Linked DNA regions of Coturnix japonica. The protein of the gene in region 1 binds, or shares a complex with, the protein of each later gene. Links are inferred from orthologs where the notes say so. Each region holds a gene or a part of one and is shown in the gene's direction. Other genes may lie near its edges.

Region 1 (4,177 bases):
AACAGGACCTGCCCTCGACTCTGGCACTGAGCACCTTGCAGACCTCCCTGACTTGTGCTCACTCATAACTTGCTCTGAGAAGTGGTTTACGGTGGACCCTGGTAGAACTGATGTGGAAGAAGAGGTGTGAATGGGCTCACAAGCCTGCAAGGGCTGAGAATACAGCTTGGCATTACTCCCTGGCCTTTATTTGGGAGCAGAGGAGCTTTGTCTGTCCCTGGCTCTGGACCAACATCATCTCTGCTTCTATTCCAGCCCACCCCCACTGCACAATAACACAAGTTTGCCTTGCTTTGTTCTTAGGTTATGCATATAGGAAATAACCTCGCCTTCTGGCAAAACAGAGATCAACTTCTGATGGCTTTGCTAACAGCGAGCCGCCAGCTGGTCCAGAAGCGGGCATTAGCAGCGTGTGTTACAGTTACAAATGGACCAGCTACAATCGGTCATTATTTCATTAAAAAGTAATGCAACACCTGCTACAGCACTTCACCCCTGAGAGCCGCCGAATGACCCTGCAGAAGAATTGTTAACAGAAGAATACATTGAAGAGTTAGAAACGAGATTTGAGAGCGGTTTGTGTGCGCAACGATAGGCTTTGATTAACACAATTACTGTAAGTGGGAAAGCAATCAGCGCTGTCACGCACACAGTCCTTCCTCCAGCTCTGACCTTTGTGTGTCCGTAATGCTGTGCAGCACCACAACACGTTACTGTGTCCAATACGAGCTGTAAGTCCAGCTATTAATACATCTCACAACTGCTGTGCATCATCCCCAATGCTGCTCCTGCTGCTGGAAAATGCATGTAGGAAAGCCTGCACTGCCAGATCCTGCTCCCAACCTGAAGTTAGCTTAAAAAGTTAAAAGTTAGCTTAAAAACCTGAAGTTGGGAGCAGGATCTGGCAGTGCAGGCTTTCCTACATGCATTTTCCAGCAGCGGGAGCAACCAACCCAGCACAGCACTGGGTCAACCTTCTTCTTTAGCAATAGGGATTAGTGACCAATCTATTGGTTCAGCAAAAGGAATCCATGGGCTGGAAACGTTCAGCTTTAGTGAGGCTGAGCTTATCAAGGCTTTATGAGCAATGGGGGTCTCCTGAGCTGGGGGCAGTGGATGGCAGCGGGTCAGAGCCCTCAATGGTGGGCACTGGGAGCACTGAGCACACAAAGGGCCATCAATCAGCTCATGTTTATGGGAGAAAGATGGATGTGGATGCTGATGTACTGCGTGGTGTGTCCTGTCAAGTCACATTCTATGTGTGGTGAGGAATAACGGAGTGCTGCTTTGTTCCACCACATCACAGTTCGTTTTCTTTCCAGAGGCCGAATGAGCCATATTGGCCCCCCGCCGCCATATTGTTCCCCCCCCCAACGGCGGCCGCGGGGCAGGGCGGGAAGGAGCGGTGCATTGTGGGCCGTGGCGGCGCGGGAGGCCCAATATGGCGGAGAGACCGGAGGACCTGAACCTGCCCAACGCCGTCATCACCCGCATCATCAAGGAGGCGGTGGGTGCGGGACGGGCTGCGGGGCTGGGCCATACGGAGACCTCGCTGTCCCTCATAGATCCTCGTTGTGGGGTTGTGCTGCTCGTAATGCCTTACCTGAGGGCCGTGCTGAGCTCAGTGCCACAGCAGAACCGATATGTGCTCGGAGCAGCAGCTGACAGGCCTGGGTTTGGTTTCCAGCATCAGTTCACGGGTCTTTATTTGCTTTAAAGCATCAGTTCACAGCTCTTTATTTGCTTCCCAGCAGCGATTAACGGGTCTTTATTTGCTTCCCAGCTGCCCGACGGGGTGAACATCTCCAAAGAAGCCCGCAGTGCGATATCCCGAGCAGCGAGTGTGTTCGTGCTCTATGCGACCTCATGGTAAGAGCTTGTTGTGTGTATAAGCTGCTGTTAGTAACTCAGATCTCTGCTGGTTGGGCTGGGGCTCGTTGCTGGGTGTGCATCCATCGTGTATTTTTGTGGCCCCCCTCTGGACACGTTTAGAACTGTAATAAAGAAGAGTGAATGATGGCAGTTATCCATTAACTCTTCTTGTTTTTGAGCAGTGCGAATAACTTTGCCATGAAGGGGAAGAGGAAGACGCTGAATGCTGGCGATGTGCTCTCTGCCATGGAGGAAATGGAGTTCCAGCGGTTTATTGCTCCTCTGAAGGAATCCCTGGAAGGTATCGGCCTGTGACCCTATGGACGGAGCTGCCATAGCACCAAGTTCTGTTTGCTTACATCAGACAAGCAGCACTTAATTGTCTGTCCTGTAAAAACAAGACTTTGCAAAAAAGCAAGAGTTTGCAAATACTTCTTTGCTTGGCATCTTACACTGCAGCTTGTGTGGATGTTAATAATGTGCACCTTAACAGCTGGGATAACATTTCACCACTGATGAGAACTGAGAAAGTCTTATCTGCTATCAGTCCCCTCTTAGGTCTGTGTAAGGGAAGTCGTAGGTGTTGCCTGCACATGTGAAATCCTGTGTCCTATTCAGCATTTATCTGCTGAAACTTCACCTGATTTCTCACGGGCTGGACAGCACAGCTCTAATAATAGGGGGAGCTGCTGCTGTGAGTTCATTAAGTGGACACTGGGCCCCAGCTGCTGTAGTGCTCACGTGGTGGAAACACCGGCTTGCAGGTTTTCACTCTTCTTTTTCTTTGTAGTTTACAGACGTGAACAGAAGGGAAAGAAAGAAGCGAGAAAAGATAAAGACAAGAAGGCAGACTCAGAGGAACAAGATAAGAGCCGAGAAGATGATAATGATGATGATGATGAAAGGATGGAGGAAGAAGAGCAAAATGATGAGGAAGAGGTGGACAACTGAGCTTGCCAATGGGACATTCAGGGTTGGGTTTTGTTACTAGGGATATAAATGTTGTAAAGAAATCTGGCCATGTCCCGTCTGGTTTCCAGTAGAGCTCTGTACTGTTCTTCTGGAATCTCTCTTTGGCTTTAGCCTGTACACAAAGGACTTGGCTAAAGCATTTCTCATGGGTGCCTCACCTCCCTGCACGCAGGGGACTTGGCAGCTTCCCCAGGTGCTGAACAGACAGTAATGGGTCTGGTATTTTTATGCTGGATTGACTCTGAAACAAAGGGAAAAAAGAGCAATGTCGGATGGCTCAGCACTGAAGTGACCTGGAGAACCTGAAAGAGCTTATGAATAAGCTCACTCAACCAAGCGGAGAGCTGAATCCTGGCTCATTAACCCCTCAGGGTTTAGAGTCTACGTGATGATGTTGAGAGCCTTAGAAGCTGACTGTTCAAGCTCTAAGTGATGTTTTTCCCTTCGTTGTCTTGCATTCTGGCTGTGCCTTCTCTCCCCTGCTCTTTCACAGTGATGCTCTTTCAGCCTCACCAGCTGGATGCAGCACACAGTACGAGGGTCAGTGAGCTGAATTCCTCCCCTCCATGAACCAGAATAATAACAAAAAAAGACTTGAAGGTGCTTCCAAAGTGAATCTATACCAGAAATGCTGTTTTGTGTCTTTCAAGCCCTTGGAGACAAAGAGGGAACTTTGATGAACGACCTTAAGCAAAGCTACCTGCAAAATTATGTCCGAGGAACAGCAAAAGGCTGCAGCAAGTGTGTGTTGTGCTGCAGCTGATGGTCTCAGCTCCTTCCCCTCCTCTGTGGAGCTGCAGCTCCTGCAGACAGGCTGCTGGGTGCTGCTGGGTGCTGCATTACTGGTTTCCTTCTATGTCTGGGGGCTTTATTCCATGTTATTGAGCTTTCTGGTACCTGTTGGGGTGTATCCCGTCCCGGACCAGGATTTAAATAAAAGTTCAGATTCTTTACGGGTCTTGACTGGTTGATTTCCATGGTTAATCCATGAGCTGTTCGTGGTGTGAGTGCGTTGCGGTTCAGGTCACACAGCGCCCACGAGCCAAATTCCCGCCACCGGGAGCGCGCCAAGACAAGCGCGCGCCAGCCCTTTCCCGCGCTCCGCCGCGCGAGACTTGTGATATGCAAATCAGGGGGGCGGGGCTATGCAAATCTGGCTGTGTGCTGCGGCGGGAAGCGGCGGCAGGTGAGCGCGGGGTCGCGGGTCTGAGCGCGGTTCGGCCGGTGCTGCGGGGTTATTGCGGGGAGTCGGGCGACACCGCACCGAGAGCGGCCCGCAGTGCCCGGATCGGCACGGAGCGTTACGGGGCCGGGAGGTGTCCATAGGGCCCGG
Region 2 (3,466 bases), on another chromosome or scaffold:
CCCCATCGCGTCTCTCTCTCTTTAGTTCTCCTCCTCCCGGGATTTCGGTTCGTTTTGCTCTTGCATCACTTTGTTTTCTTTCACAACAGAACGGCCGGAGCGCAGAGAATCCAGCGCGACATTTTCAGCCGCGGGATCTCAAATGTGGGGCATTAAATAATGTGAAATTGGTGTTAAAAAGGGGCAGGTGCCCCCTGGTCCCGGGGCAGAACCCACGGGGGCTCAGCAGCGCACGTTGCCCACGTTCTGCACGGACGGCAGCGAAAAAACGGTGGAAAATGGGATTTGTGCTCGGAGGGCACCGAGGGCTCCAGCTGGGACCCGTCCCGGTGTTTGTGGCCGCTCCGTGAGCCGGGACGCGGAGCTGCCCGCGATGGCGCCGTCGGGGCAACGGCGCCGCTGTCACTGCGACCTGAGCAGCGTCTGGCACCGCGATGCTTTGTCCTGTCTGAGCCCACCCGGTGCTGACCCATCCCGGGAGCTGCTCGGGGGGCTCCGGAGCTGCCACTGCCCCCAGCCCGGTGCGGCTGTGACGATGTGCGGGTGCGGGTCGGACCATTCGCGCTCACCATTTCCCATCCACGGACGCGTCCTATGGGCTCTCCTCCCTCCTGAGAACCGTGCGGGCCGTCCGAGCCGAAGGAGCCGAAGGAGCCGAAGGAGTTGAAGGAGCTGAAGGGGCTGAAGGGGCTGCAGGAGCTGCAGGAGCTGCAGGAGCTCAGCCCGCCCGGCACTGAAAGCAGAAGCTGTTTCCTAACGTTGTGTTGGTGCGGGGCTGCGCGCAACGCCAGGAAGCGGCTGCGGCCTGAATGTGAGAGTGGGGGGGGGGGGAGGAGATGCTGCTGCCCCGTCCAGGAACCGACGTGGGCTCAGGGAGCGACCCCGGGCCGCAGCATCGGCACAGGAGGGATCGGGCCGGGGGGGAACGGGCTGAGCGGAGCCCCGTCCGTGTCCGTGGGTGATGGGGGGTTATGGGGACTGCGGGGCTGCGTTTGGGGCACAGGGGGGCGGAGAGCCGAATTTGGGGCACAGAGCGGAAGTTTGGGGCACAGCGGGGCCGGAGGGCGGGATGTGGGGCACAGAGCGGGTGGGGGGCGAGTTCGGGGGCGGCGGGAGGACGGAGAACCCGGCCGGGGATGCGGGAGGGGCCCGGTCCCGTGCGGGGCGCCCGGCTCCGCGGCACAGACAGACACAGCGCCCCCCAGCGGCACAGACAGACACAGCGCCCCCCAGCGGCACAGACAGACACAGCGCCCCCCAGCGGCACAGAGACACAGCGCCCCCCAGCGGCACAGAGACACAGCGCCCCCCAGCGGCACACAGCGATGACAGCCGGCGCTCCGCTCCGCCCCGCAGGCAGCACTCACTGCGCATGCGCGTTGCGGGATGGCGGCGGCGGCGGGGCCGGAGGCGGCGGCGGAAGATGCGGGAGGAGCGGGACCGGGAGCGGGACCCGGAGCGGCGCGTGGTGCCAGGCTGCCGCTGTCACGGGTGAAGGCGCTGGTGAAGGCGGACCCGGACGTCAGCCTGGCCAGCCACGAGGCCGTGTTCGTGCTGGCGCGGGCCGCGGTGAGCGGCGGGGGCGGGCGGGGCAACGCGGGGCAGTGCGGGGTAATGCGGGGCAGCCTCCGGTCCGTGCCGTTCTGTCCCGGTCTGTCCCGTTCCGTCCCGTTCCGTCCGTGTGACGCTCGTGCTCGCCCCGCAGGAGCTGTTCGTGGAGAACATCGCTAAGGACGCGTTTGTGTTCGCCCAGCAGGGGAAGAGGAAAACGCTGCAGAGGAAGGACCTGGGTACGGGGCGGAACCGGGGGGGGGGGTCCGAAGAGAAGAGAAACGTCCCAGCTCTTCCCGGTTGGCCCTTCTGTCTGTGTCGGCACTGAGCCCTTTTCCCTTTGCAGATAACGCCATTGAGGCTGTTGATGAGTTCGCTTTTCTGGAGGGTGAGTTTCGGTTTCCCCCATTAGTCCATAATCCCTTTCAAAGCAGCCCCGCATCCTCCTATATCCCTCCTATATCCCTCCTATATCCCTCCTATATCCTTCCTGTATCCCTCCTGCAGCCCCATGGTCTCACTATCTGGGTCTGTATCTGGGCCTTCCAGCCCCACACCCCACTTATAGCCCCCCCTATAACCCTACAGCCTCCTATAGCCCCCCCCACTGCTCCCTGTAGCCACATATTCCTCTATATCCCTGGTACAGCCCCCCATAGCCCCATGCCCCCCTGTTTCCCCCCCATACTCCCTTTATCTGGGCCTTTTAGCCCCACATCCCCATATAGCCCCCTCCATAGACCCACAGCTCCCTATAAACCCGAGTTCCAGCTGTTCTTGTAGCTGTGTTTCATTTTCCTTTCTGGTCCCTGAGGCTGCTTTGCTTCATCGTTGTTTTTGTTTCCAGGCACTTTGGACTGAGCTGCTCAGCAATGGGGTTCTGTGCAGATGGGTCGGCCGGCACCGGCTGCACTTCCCAGCAGTGGGACACCAATGTGGGCAGCCGCGGTGCTTTGTGTAACGACTGAGTGTCTGTAAGATCTTTGTTGAAAGCTTTTGTTGTAAGTATTTTGTAGGACTCTGACCTCCTTGTTCTGCTGCTGCTCCCCAGCCCTGCCCCCCCCCCAGGCACCATGGAGCAGAGCTGAGCTCCCGAGGCAGCTCCCTGTTGGTTTATCCCACCTGCTGGTCTGTAGATACATTATTGAAGTGGATGTTTTGGTCTCTGTGTGTTTTGTTGGGTTCCTTTTTGGCCAGTGCAATTAAAGGCGGAGCTGTTTTGAGTGGCTGTTCTGAGTGATGCTGCTCTGTGCTGCTCTGCTGTTCCTGTGGCACAGATGCAGTTTGGAAGGGATGCTCCGCTCCAGGCACACAGATGAGCTGCAGAGAGGCTCGTGTTGCTGTTAGGGCTGCATGGCTCCATCAAGTTCTGCGATGGTCACAGCTGGACAGTAATAAATCCCTGCTTTTGAAGGCGTTGCCTGCCGTGTTTCACTGCTCTTCTCCTTTGCTCTCATTGCTGAACCTGGCCCTTCTCCTGTGCGTGGATCTGCTGGGCTGTGCTGCAGCCCTCCCTGCCCTTGCCAAAGCACAGCGTGTGGCCCATGAGCTGTCCTGCTTTGGGCAGAGCTGCACGGTGCCTTCCTTGCCAGCAGGTTCCTTTTGCTGCCCTCGGGGCTGATTCAGGCCCATTGAGCACAGGGCCCATAGGGGTGCCTGGTTTTGTGTCTGATCTCTCCCTGCTGTGCTTTGCTGGGCAGCATCGCCTGCTCACAGCAGGTCAATCAGGGTTTGTCTTTGGGCTGAGCCCACGAGCAGAGGCTCAGGGATGCTGTGGGGTGTCCTGACAGGACAAAATGGGTCCCTTTGTTCACCGTGGGTCTGTGGCCTTTGGGAGCAGCTCTGGATTCAGTTACACATGCAGCTGTAAAGTGTTGGCCACTAAAGTGGTGCCAAAGTCACTTAGAGATGAGAA
Region 3 (3,977 bases), on another chromosome or scaffold:
GGCGTAAGGAAAAACCAGCCCAACTCCCAGATATCACGATACTGGCTTCAAAGTAAAGATACTTTCAAAAATGATCAACTCGAGTCTGTCTGTTCCCTTCTCATTTGTGAGCTGCAGGTTCACATGTTCTAGTTCTTCTCTCCAACTTGAGATTTAGAAATGTAATTATTTTTATATAAGCCGAGGTTCCAATTTAATCCCATCTGCCGAGGAGTTTGAGTTGAAAACAAAGCGTAGTGTTGCAAAATCTCACTGTAATCGTGAGGGCTGCCAAGACTAAATGTCACAGCCGTGGCATACTGTAGAGTTTTGATGCAAAACTGACTAAAATTGATGTTTGATGCGCTAAAAGTGCATTAACTGAAAGTTGCATTTGTGCCATTTGCTGGTAATTAATTACAAACTGAAAGCGAAGCCAAGTGGCAAATAAAAATGAGCTGGTGGAACTCGGAGCTAACCTGTGCTGTAGTTCAAGTTCAGTACTTTGTAAACTTGAGGAGAGCACTGGCATTTCTCAGCGCTTTTCATTAAAACCCGATCACTTTTTAAACAAAGCAATTCACGACTTGGAGTGTAAACATTCTTTAAGATTGCAGTCATCCGGGCTACAGCAACGCCGATCCTTGCACGGAAGACAAACAGCCCCTGTACAGGTGCAGGAAGCAGCGCAGCACCTTTATGTGCCTGAGCAGGGTTGATGCTGAAGGCTCCTGCTTAGATGTGAGCCCCCAGAAACCGCCCACCCGGGTGGTTCTGTGTGTGAGGGGGAGGGCTCTGCGATAGTTAAGTGCGCTTCTATGTAAGCGCTGGAGCTTGCGGTGGGCTCTATGCATACGTCTCTAAGCCGGCTGTCACGTAAGAGATCACAATTAGGCTAAGGTCCATGATTTAATTACGCATGGAAATGCCTTAAAGACAGTAAAAACGGTGAAAAATAAAACCGCTACCAACAGAAAACCGAGTACACCGGTAGCGCGATGTACGGACGTTTCCAACGAAGTGGCGGAAAAATAAAGGGGGCGGCGGAACGGGGCCCAGCTCCGGGCACAACTGACGCGCTGCCGACCTTCCCCGCAGCACAACACGCACAGCCCGGTGCTGCCGTGCGCCTCGGCTGCCGGCTGCCCCCGGCTTCGGGCAGGGAAAGCTGCGGCCGGGGGCTGCCTGCTGAGCGCGGCGCTGCCGGGGCGGGGATCCACGGGGCCGGGGGGCGAGCGGGGAGAACCGCCTTCCTCCCCTCGGCCGGCAGATCGCAGGCTGATAATTCAAAAATGGAGGATGAGCCCTCTCAGCCATTAATTAATAATGTAGCTCTCTGTCTTCCTGTGTGACACACGCTGGAAGGCACCGAGCGGCCAATAAAGATGTAGGGGAGAGAAGTGGAAAGCTCCTCCCAGCAGCTCTTCCTGATTGAGGGCTCGAAGAAGTAGATCAAAAACTTCCCGGGAGCTGGGGGGCAGAGGAGAAGCGGGGTAGAGCCGCGGGCCGCGTTACGTACCGCCCGAGCAGCCGGGGCAGCGGCTCCAGGTAGGAGGCGGAGGGGCCGGGCAGCCCCCCGCACCGCGCCGCACCCGGAGCCAGGGCCGCGCCGTCCCGCGGAGGCAGGAGGCGGCGGCCGGGGAGCGGCCGGGGCGGAAAGGGCTGCGGAGCGCGCCGGGGCGGCCAGCAGGCAGGAAGCGGCCGCCGCGCTCGCCCCGCGGGGAGTGGAAGTTGTGTCCGGCCGCGGCGCGCGGCTCGGAGGCGGGGAAGGGGTGAGGAAGGGGTGACCCGGGGGGCGGGGGGGGGGGCGACGGAGACAAAGCCGGCGGCGGCGGCCGGGGTGTCCCCGCGCCGAGCACGTTGTGTGGCGCGGGAGGGGGGGGAGCACCGCGCCCGCCCGCCGCTCGGCGTCACGGCCCCATTGTGAAGGCGGCGGGAGGAGGCGGGGGAGGAAGGATCCGCCGCCGCTCCCCGCGCAGTCCCAGGCAGGCAGCGGCGTGTCAGGCACACAAAAGGCCGCCGCCGGATCCCGCCGTGCCGCTGTTCTCTGCCGCTCCTTCTCCGGCGCCCCCGGGGGAGGGACGCGCCGGGCCCGCTCTCACCGCTTCTCACCCTTCGTCTCCTTTCTCCCCGGGTCCCGGCGCAGCGAGGACAGAACGGAACGCGGCGATGCCGCTGCTGCACCGAAAGCCCTTCGTGAGGGAGAAGCCCCCCGCCGACCTGCGGCCGGACGAGCGCGTGTTTTACTGCAGGGTCACTAACGAGATCTTCAGGGACTACGAGTAAGTCGGTCGCCCCCCAACGCCCCCCCTCCCTCCGTTCTTCCCCTTGGCCGGGAGCGGTTACCCCCAACGGCTGACACCTGGGCGGGGAGGAGGAGGGAGGGGATTCCCCGGCAGCGCCGCGGGGCGCCCGGCGGGGAGGGGTCGCGGCTGGCGCCGAGCCCGTGCCCCACCGCGGGGTGGGGGGAGAGGGAGGGCGGATCTCCCGGCCCGGGGAATCCCTGCCCCGCTCGGCGGGGTGACCCCGCGGCCCCGTCTTTCCTGGGGGGCTGTAGGGGGGGCTGCCCGCTGCCACCCGGCTCCTTCCGCGGGGAAGTGAAAGTTGCGCGCGTGGGAGGCGGCGCTGAGCCCCGGGCCGCCGCTTCTCCCCCCCCCGCCTCCATCCCGCCGCGTGTCGGTGCTGCGCAAGGCCGGGACGCGGCAACAACCAACGGCCGCCGCGCGCGCCGGGCCCGGGATTCGGCGGCGGCTCCGCGCGTGGAGCGTGGCACGCACCCACCGCGCTATTGTTGTGTGTGTATGTGCGTGCGTGTGTGTATGTGTGTGTGCGCTGAGCCGCAGGGCCGCGCGGAGCCCCTTGTTCCCGGCACCCTCTCCCGGGCCGGTGTCAGGGCCGCCGCGCCGCCCATGGCCGCCCTCGCCCCGCCCTCCGCCGGCTGCCGGCCCGACGACTGACCCGGCTGGACGCGGCCCGGCCCCGGGAGCCCGCGGCGCTGCACCTGCTTCCGGGCGGGGGCTGGGGGGGGGGCACGGAGCGGAGCCGGTGCGCTCGTCCGGCGGGGGACACCTGTCCCCAGCTCCGTCCGGTTCCAGTTCTCTGGCTGCTTCCCCCCCCCCCGTCCGTCCTTTTATTCTGCCGGTGCGCAGACCGGCGGCAGTCGAGCTGTCGTTAGTGCAGGGGGGAGCCCGGGCTCGTCCCTAAGTTGGTGTCAGCGCTGTCAGAACAATAGGCGGAAAGTGCTCAGCTCCTCTCGGCGCGGGGCTCTGTGCCCCGGGGCCGCTCGGCTCCGTCCCACCTGCGGGGGGGCCCCAGCGCCGAGCTCTCCTTTTTTTGTCTGCACAACAGACGTGCAGACTAATGAGATTAAATCAGAAACGCTTCTCGTTCGCAGCATGCGAAATTAGAGCACACCTAGATCTTTTTCGTGCTTAGACTTGTTTTTCTTACTCAAATGCATCTCGCCGAGTACAGTCGGGCCGGGGCCGGGTTGGGAAACTGCCTGGCGCTGCGGGGATGGCTGCGGCGGCCCCGGGTGTCACAAACTGCCCTTGTGCGTTCCGTTATCGCTGGCACGTCATGGGATGGCTCCCGTGCAGTGTTGACACGGCTCTGGAGTACGTTTCTGGTGTGTGTGTGTATATATATATATATAGTTTAGAGTAAATTTGAGCATGAAAGGTATCTTTCAGCTTTGGCGCGGTGTGGTGAATGTTTAATGCGGGACCAAATCCCATGTTTAACCGAAGTATGAATGAAGGGATAAATTTAAGCTTGTTCACACAGGCCGTCCCTAGCAGTGCCTGTGGGTGGCTCACCCTGAGGTCGAGGCTGGGATATGGCGTTTGGGAAAGGACTTCCACCTTTCCTGCACATATCTTTGCTGTGTTTATTTATTATTATTATTATTAATTTATTTTTCTGCATGGAGAAAATGGATGCTTTGCAGCGACAAGCCCAGTATTTTTTACATGATATGTCATGCTGCAGCTGGGTGT
Region 4 (3,511 bases), on another chromosome or scaffold:
GAGATTGTTGGCCCTAAACCTTTCCTGTTATCTCAGGCTCTCGAGGCAGTGCTCTGTGACATTCTATGCTTTTCAGTGATGTCCGTGGGGTGAGAGAAGCCCTCATGGCATTGGGCTCAGTTGGTCTGTCTGCAGCATGCTTGGAGGAGATAGGACCAGAGGAAAACATGGACTAGAATAACTGAACAGCCTGGTCTGGTGGTTGGTGACCCTGCACATAACAGGGGGGCTGGAATGAGACGATCATTGTGGTCCTTTTCAGCCCAGGCCATTCTATGGTTCTATGACTCTGTGAATAAAAAATAAGGAAATGCTGCTTTGTGTTGTCAAAGCCTTGGTCCTTCAGAGGCTTCTCATTAAGAGAGTGTGTCTGTAGTTTTGGAGCCTTAGATGTGCAGTGATGGACGTTGGTGTCTGTGGGATATTGCTCTGTGCATCCTGTGAATATGTTTTGTGTTTAAAATTTGTGAAATACATTAAGTAGAAGAGAAGCACAAGTGGGGAATGGGTACCACTCAGTTACTGCTTTTAAGACATGGCAGTTCACAAGAAAGGGTGCGGTTTGATGCAGACCATTCAGACCCGGAAATGATTGCTGTTTTCCTACATTCTTACTCAGTTGGGTTGAGAAGATTATGTGGCTGTGCAGCAAATCCATTCAAAGAAATGGTCAAGGCCTAAAATAGTTGGTATCTCGCTCAGCTTGTTTTTCAGCCAGATAGTTCCCCGCTCCGGTTCACTGCTGAGCAGTGCAGGGACTGGTGCTGGCACAAGAGCGGGATTGATGGAGGCTGGGACTGAGCAGCTCAGCTGCCAACTGTCTGACTAATGTCTGGAGTATGATGCTGTTACAAAAACTAAAGGTTATTTTGTTGTTCAAAAATGTCTTAGGTTGGTATGAAGATGAAGTTTTTCATGTGAATGCCTTTGGATTTCCGCCTACTGAGCCGTCTGCTGCCACTAGGTATGAAACTGACTTTTGGCAGCCTCACTCTGACTTTGTATTTTGTTGTAGGTTTCCAAGTAAGCTCGTTATCAGTTTATAATTTTTGTGACATTGAAGTATGCTATTATTTCCCCTCCCCAAATATTTCAGAATAAATACTTTCTTTTCCTATGAGGAAAGGTTGAGGGAACTGGGCTTGTTCAGCTTGGAGAAGGCTGCAGGGAGACCTCATTGTGGCCCTGCAGTATTTGAAGGGAACATATAAACAGGAGAGGGAACGGCTGTATGTGAGGGTGGGCAGTGACAGGACAAGGGGGAATGGTTTGAAACTGAGACAGGGGAGGTTGAGGTTGGATCTTAGGAGGAAGTTTTTCCCCCAGAGGGTGGTGACGCACTGGAACAGGTTGCCCAAGGAGGCTGTGGATGCCCCATCCCTGCAGGCATTCAAGGCCAGGCTGGATGTGGCTCTGGGCAGCCTGGGCTGCTGGTTGGTGACCCTGCACACAGCAGGGGGTTGGAGCTGGATGATTATTGTGGTCCTTTTCAACCCAGGCCATTCTGGGATTCTGTGAAATACAATTTTAAGGAGGCAGTTCTGAGACTTGCATGTTCTGCGTGTTAATAACCACTGAGATCTAAGCATTTCTAGATGGCATAACTAAATACTATTAGATAGGAATATGGAACTCTGTATTGCTCAGGGAGTGGATGAGGGAGGGGACCGTGGGTACACATTACCCTGAGATAATCTGTGGAAGCCCATGCTTTAGATGTGGGTGACTGCCATTTCTTTTCCTTGGTTTCTCCATCAGCTACTAAATGATAAAGGATACAATTTGAGCTACCTTTCATAATAATGATAATTAAAATGGCTCAGGTGAGTCATAATCAAAACTAGTAATTATTTGGGAAGAGAACAGAGTTAACATGAATATTTTAATAATACAGAGCCTTCTATGGGAATATAAACTTCTTTGGAGGTCCTTCCTCAACTTCAGTAAAGGCTTCTGCAAAACTGAAGCAGCTGGAGGATGAAAACGAGGATGCCATGTTTGTGTTTCTTTCTGATGTGTGGTTGGACCAAGCAGAAGTACTAGAAAAGCTGCATACAATGTTTTCAGGTAGGTGGTGGCTGCTTTGAGTCTGAGCTTTGTTCTAGAGAAATTTTACCATCTCCCTTGATCCCTAGCAGTGCTGCTGGTGGCACTGGTGAGTGTGACAAGACACACAGCTAGCTGGCCCTGGGTCCACTTCTATGGCTATGCCCCCCCCTGCTTTGGGCTGAGAGCTCTGGCCTCGCGCTGAGCCTGCACAGGAAATATCCCATGGGAAACCTGCTTTGCAGAGCTGTAAGCTGATGTAGCTTTCTGTACTTGCATCCTGTGTTTGCTCACGTGAGCATCACTGTCCATGCAGGGCAAGCTGGTCAGCTTATGGCTGGCAGCTGGGCTGCTGTGCCCAGGGTCTGCTCACTGCGGTCTGATTGTGCTCTTTTGTGAAATAGGAAGTTTTGTACCTTGTTCACAGGTATGCCTTTAAATGAAAAGGTTGGGCATCGATTTCCAGGTGTCCTTTTGCTTTGTTTATTGTGTGTTTTGGGTGACTTTCAGTTCTGAGAAAGTAACAATAAACCCAGCTGTGGGCAGTATTCCACTGAAGCCCACTGAACCCCAGCCTAAGTAAAGCCAGGGAGGTCTTGCTGCAGTTTTAATGGTAACTATTTGCATTTCACGTTTGCTATTCTGTTTCTTTTGGATCTCTCTTTAACAGATTTACAAATTGTATTGTATTATATTTTTGCGAGCTGTCACTTCCTTTTCATCAACCTTTTAGCACCGATATTGCTTTGGGCAGTCGCCATTTTATGTGCTTTGACAGGAAAGTTCGTGAAATGTCGTCCTAGCCTTAGTTTAAAGAAAACATGGAGTTCATCAGAGATGAGCAGTCCCTCTTGAATCCTGTCTGCTTTTTACCAATGGAAAAATGTCAGTTATTCTCAAAATATGGGCTGTTTCTTCCCTGCATCATTACATTAGTAATGATGGCAATGTTTGGATAACAAGCATCTGTGAGATCTGTGAATTGCTTCTTTGTATTCCAGAACAGTTTTGGAACAGCTTGTCCTGTCTGCCTTAGGTAGAATGGAGGTGTGAGAGGGCGGCTGCCTTAAAAAACAAGCAGTATGAAATTAAGGGTGCCAATCTGCGATTCGCTTAAGGAAAATTGAACATGTTGTCATAATGTCTACTGAGAAGTGAAGTAGTTAACTCTGAAGCTAGGAAACCAGTTCTGTATCTTGATGAGAGTTGGCAAGATCCTTGAACCAAACCAAACCTGTGTCATTAGTGCTATGGTGAGGGTTAGTCAGCTTCATAATGCTAAAAAATGAGTTAAATATTGGGAGAGCTTTTGAATTGGAATGACTCATGGGGGTTAATAATAATTCATTGCTACTTACTTGCTGTTTTTCTCTTCAAGGAAAGAATGTATTATTATTATTAGGTCTTAGTTGTGTCATTGTGTGACTGGGTCAGTGCTTAGTTGTATACACACAAACAGTGTTGT
Region 5 (4,197 bases), on another chromosome or scaffold:
GGAGTAGTTGATGTTTTATTGTCTCTAGGAGATAATCAGATTGTGACTCTGTAAACACAACAGTGTAGAGCTTTGACATTGCCATTAAGCTACTCAATCTCCTGGTTGAATTCATTCCAAGTGGTGGAGAAACTGAGAAGATGCTTAAATATGTATCTCGCTGTCATAGTAATGTCAACTGTTTCCACAAGGTGTCACAAGACTACAAGGATCAAACAAACTGAGCCTGATCGATACATATACAGCATCATTGTACATAACACTTCACTTTGGATATAATCTACAGAGTGATTTCACCAGTGTTGTACTCTGAAGTGAATCACGCAGTCCAAGAGGTTTTGATTGCTGTTGCTTAACTGTCAAAGTTGTCTCCAGATACGGTGATGCTGGACCCAAAGCCAATGAACAAATATATATTGTTGTGCTATCGCTGTATTAAGTTGCTGACAACTGTTGAAGGTGCCACATTTTACCCAACAAGTTGTGCACCCATCCAAACCACAGGCTGTGCAAGACATTGCTGACCATACCCACAGCCATTCCCCATCCACCTGCAGCTCAACACAGAGTGTAGGTGCTACATATATGTGGAATGCATTCATAAAGTCACCACCGCCATCATTACTTCATAGTTTACTTATGCTCTCCACACCCAGCACGCCTACAAGCGCCAGGATACCAGACAGCGCTCCCTGCTATTGGGCTGCAGCAGCTTAATGAGGCGTTTAGCAACCTGTGATTACACTCATGACTCTGTAGCCGCTGGCCTCTACTTGGATTATATTTAGGAAGCGCCTATTTGCCATTATAAACGAGTTCCAGGCGCTCAAGCAGTATGAGACCCTTGGTTGCGGGGTGACCTCATTGCAGCCTTTCAATACCTGAAGGGAACTGACTCCCAGGAGGGGAGTAAACTCTTCGAAAGGGCTGACAATAGCAGGACATGGGGAAATGGTTTTAAGTTAAAAGAGGGAAGATTTAGGTTGGACGTTAGGGGGAAGTTCTTCACTAGGAGAGTGGTTAGACCCTGGAACAGGCTGCCCTGGGAGGTTGTGGATGCCCCGTCCTTGGAGGTGTTCAAGACCAGGTTGGACGGGGCCCTGGGCAACCTGATCTAGTAAAGGTGTATGTTTGGTGGCCCTGCTGGGCAGGGGGGTTGGAACATAATGATCCTTGAGGTCCCTTCCAACCCGGGTCATTCTATGATTCTGTGAGACCCGCTCTGAGGGGCTGTGAGGAGCCGCCATCCCGCCCATAGCACCAGAGCCGGCAACGGCCGAGCGCGGGGGCTCGTAGTCCTCCCGCCGCCCGGTCAGCGCTCGGCTTCACGGGAGCTGTAGTCCCTCCTCCTCCTCCCTCCAACGGAGCTCGGGTTCCCTCTGTCGGTCACGGACTACAGCTCCCAGGGGGCCGAGCTGCTGCCGCCCATTTCTCGCTACGATGAGGGGTGAAAGGCCGGGGCCGCGCCGGGGGGGTAAAATGGCGGCCAGGTTGAGCGGCGGGGAGAACCGGCTGGTGTCACTGCCGCTATCGCGGATCCGAGTCATCATGAAGAGCTCGCCGGAGGTTTCCAGCATCAACCAGGACGCGCTTTTCCTCACCGCTAAAGCCACGGTAGCGTCTCCCGCTTTCCCTCCCCTCTCGGCCGGGTTGCGCCTTTTCCCTCAGCGCCACAGCATCCAGCGCCCTGTATATACCTGCACTTTAATTTTTTATGGCTTTGATTGGGAGTTAAACTGCCTTTTTTATATCCGAGTCACTATTATTTGCTTTCCGTTTTAGGAGCTTTTCGTTCAGTATTTGGCGTCGTACTCCTACAAACACGGCAGAGGCAAGGAGAATAACGCCCTCACCTACAGCGACCTGTCTCACACCGCAGAGGAGTGCGAAACCTTTCAGTTCCTTGCAGGTATCTGTAGAGCAGTGGTAATCCTGTGTGTAGTTTTGTAGATCTGCTGCACTTTAGCCACTCTTCCACTCCTGCTTTTGCAATCACCTCTGCTAGGTGCCCTTATTATGTGTGCAAAAAGATGTGGAGTTGTTAGAGCAGGTCTGCAGGAGGGCCACAAAGATGATCAAAGGGCTGGAGCACCTCTCTTATGAAGAAAGGTTCTTTAGCTTAGGGAAGAGAAGGCTCCAGAGGGACCTCATTGCAGCACTTGAATGGAGCTTACAAGCAGGAGGAAGTCTGACTTTTTACATGGTCTCAGCGATAGAACAAGGGGGGGGGGGGGTTAAAACTAAAAGAGGGGAGATTTAAATTGGATTTTTATTAATTTTTATTTTATTATTACTTTTCTTATTTTTTACTGAGAGGGTGGTGAGGCACAGCAACAGGCTGCCTAGAGAAGCTGGAGATTCCCCCTCCATGGAGGGGTTCAAGGCCAGGTTGGGTGGGACCCTGGGCAGCCTGGTCTGGTGGGTGGCAGCCCAGACCATATATAGTTGGAACTAGATAGGCTTTTAAGGTCTCTTCCAACCCAATCTATTCTGTGATTCAAATCAAACTCATAATCTACATTGCTGAAAACACCTATTTGTGGACAGGGATTTCTCCAGTGTTGCAAAATTATACTGGGGTAATTAGTGCTCAGTGTATTGCCATAAGCGTTTCTAACATGCCAACAACATTTAAAAGCTTTCAGCTTGTAAAACAAGACCCAAAAAAGATGTGACAAATTACATGGCTCAAAAAGCATTTAATTCTGCAAATCCTGTTTGTTGAAAATTATGCATCCTATGGTTCCTCTCTCTTTTTTAATGCACATATTTACATCTGTACGCACATGTGCATGCAGACCTTTCTCTTGTTGTAATTTATTGGTAATGTTTCACTCTGAAAGGGCATGGACATAGGATAGAGTCTGAGAATGAGATATTTGATGGCCCTTGTCTCAGGGCCATCGTTACTGCCCTGAATGAGCATCTTACCTGAACACAGTAATCAGGTTTGTCTAGGACACAAGTAAGGCAGCTGTCCTATTGAATCTCTCAAAGGCTGTTGAGTAATTGAGCATCCCATTTAACATCAAACAAATAACATTGCTTATAGTTAAAAAAGAAAAAAGGAATTACATCCACTTCCACTTGTGATACATCTGTACGCCAGGCTAAATTAACTGGTTATTAACTGAAATGTGTTAGTTGCTTTGGTTTTGTTTAGTGCTGCTCAGTCCCTTCTAACCTCTGTGACTGTGTGATCCTGTATGAATGCAACACTATGAAATAGGCAATGTAAGTACTTACACTGACTAAAAGAAGCCATTCTCCCTTCCAGATATCTTGCCAAAGAAAATCCTAGCTAGCAAATACCTAAAAATGCTCGAAAAAGAGAAGCGAGGTGGAGAGTTGGGGAACTGTGATGAAGAGGATGATGATGAAGAGGATGATGATGAAGCTGTGGATGAAGCTGTTGGATCTTAAGGCTAAATGGGAAGCTGCTTCATAATTGATCCATTTTTTTTTGTTGCGTAAAGGATGTTATTTTTGTGACTGAGAATCCAGATGCTGGATTTATTTATACACTGAGCCATCTGCTTTTGCTTTAAGAAGTTTAAAAACTGAACTGCGTACTTCCTGAAGAATGGAATTCTTCCCTCAGAAACGTGGTGACAAGAGAAGCACTAATGTAAAGCTGACAGCAGAACTTGCTCAGATGAATGAGAATGACTTCTTCAGACAATCGTTTTCCAAACGTACAATTCCTCACAGGCAGCTCTCAGTCCAAAAGCTCTTTCACTCTTTAAAGGGAGCTCTTTCCCATGTTGTGTTTCTCAGGTGAGGGGAGGGGTTTTACACAGGATCTGCTCCCCCTGGTCCTCTTCTGCTTGGGGAGCCAGGAAGCGATCCAACCCTTCCCCTGTATTCCGGAACAGTGGCAGGGCATTAGCAGTGGACCAAGCCCGATTTGAATGAGTGTTCTGTTTTGATTTTGATTTAGCTTTAAAAAAAAGAATAATAATAATAATAAAGCTCTTGCTGTAATGCAGCCTAAACCGGCACATCCGCACAGAAGCTGAGTAGAGGACGAGAACCATTCCAACAGCGAATGTGTTTCAGTGGCCGCAGTGATAAGAAGTAGATGTGGTGGATAACAGCATCAATGTGTACAAGATCCTTCCTCTGTAATCAGCTCTGTGTGCCCGTGGTGCTCTGATAAAATACGCTGAGTGAAGTCTGTTAAACGTGGATTGTTGA

The links.
Region 2: POLE3 (region 1) and POLE4 share a complex: the UniProt entries of both Homo sapiens proteins name them as parts of the DNA polymerase epsilon complex. The link is inferred for Coturnix japonica from reciprocal best matches to the Homo sapiens genes POLE3 and POLE4.
Region 3: POLE3 (region 1) and BAZ1A share a complex: the UniProt entries of both Homo sapiens proteins name them as parts of the CHRAC ISWI chromatin remodeling complex. The link is inferred for Coturnix japonica from reciprocal best matches to the Homo sapiens genes POLE3 and BAZ1A.
Region 4: POLE3 (region 1) and POLE2 share a complex: the UniProt entries of both Homo sapiens proteins name them as parts of the DNA polymerase epsilon complex. The link is inferred for Coturnix japonica from reciprocal best matches to the Homo sapiens genes POLE3 and POLE2.
Region 5: POLE3 (region 1) and CHRAC1 share a complex: the UniProt entries of both Homo sapiens proteins name them as parts of the CHRAC ISWI chromatin remodeling complex. The link is inferred for Coturnix japonica from reciprocal best matches to the Homo sapiens genes POLE3 and CHRAC1.

Annotation. Positions count from the first base shown.
Region 1 is NC_029532.1:789,230-793,406, forward strand, and holds POLE3 (DNA polymerase epsilon subunit 3), read left to right. Parts: upstream 1-1,371; 5' UTR 1,372-1,441; coding exon 1,442-1,507; intron 1,508-1,582; exon of another isoform or gene 1,583-1,643; coding exon of another isoform or gene 1,644-1,700; exon of another isoform or gene 1,701-1,717; intron 1,718-1,783; coding exon 1,784-1,869; intron 1,870-2,054; coding exon 2,055-2,173; intron 2,174-2,662; coding exon 2,663-2,823; 3' UTR 2,824-3,800; downstream 3,801-4,177. Other genes in the region: ALAD (delta-aminolevulinic acid dehydratase), read left to right, coding at 3,967-4,030. UniProt on the Homo sapiens protein: Accessory component of the DNA polymerase epsilon complex. Participates in DNA repair and in chromosomal DNA replication.
Region 2 is NC_029543.1:373,741-377,206, reverse strand, and holds POLE4 (DNA polymerase epsilon subunit 4), read left to right. Parts: upstream 1-1,369; 5' UTR 1,370-1,386; coding exon 1,387-1,569; intron 1,570-1,705; coding exon 1,706-1,790; intron 1,791-1,897; coding exon 1,898-1,939; intron 1,940-2,398; coding exon 2,399-2,412; 3' UTR 2,413-2,964; downstream 2,965-3,466. Other genes in the region: PRAM1 (PML-RARA-regulated adapter molecule 1), read right to left, coding at 570-572. UniProt on the Homo sapiens protein: Accessory component of the DNA polymerase epsilon complex. Participates in DNA repair and in chromosomal DNA replication.
Region 3 is NC_029520.1:32,626,958-32,630,934, reverse strand, and holds the start of BAZ1A (bromodomain adjacent to zinc finger domain protein 1A), read left to right. Parts: upstream 1-1,171; 5' UTR 1,172-1,527; intron 1,528-1,648; exon of another isoform or gene 1,649-1,751; intron 1,752-2,125; 5' UTR 2,126-2,148; coding exon 2,149-2,261; intron 2,262-3,977. UniProt on the Homo sapiens protein: Regulatory subunit of the ATP-dependent ACF-1 and ACF-5 ISWI chromatin remodeling complexes, which form ordered nucleosome arrays on chromatin and slide edge- and center-positioned histone octamers away from their original location on the DNA template to facilitate access to DNA during DNA-templated processes such as DNA replication, transcription, and repair.
Region 4 is NC_029520.1:52,269,725-52,273,235, reverse strand, and holds part of POLE2 (DNA polymerase epsilon subunit 2), read left to right. Parts: intron 1-891; coding exon 892-964; intron 965-1,894; coding exon 1,895-2,067; intron 2,068-3,511. UniProt on the Homo sapiens protein: Accessory component of the DNA polymerase epsilon complex. Participates in DNA repair and in chromosomal DNA replication.
Region 5 is NC_029517.1:131,125,148-131,129,344, forward strand, and holds the start of CHRAC1 (chromatin accessibility complex protein 1), read left to right. Parts: upstream 1-1,392; 5' UTR 1,393-1,440; coding exon 1,441-1,614; intron 1,615-1,782; coding exon 1,783-1,909; intron 1,910-3,277; coding exon 3,278-3,423; 3' UTR 3,424-4,197. UniProt on the Homo sapiens protein: Forms a complex with DNA polymerase epsilon subunit POLE3 and binds naked DNA, which is then incorporated into chromatin, aided by the nucleosome remodeling activity of ISWI/SNF2H and ACF1.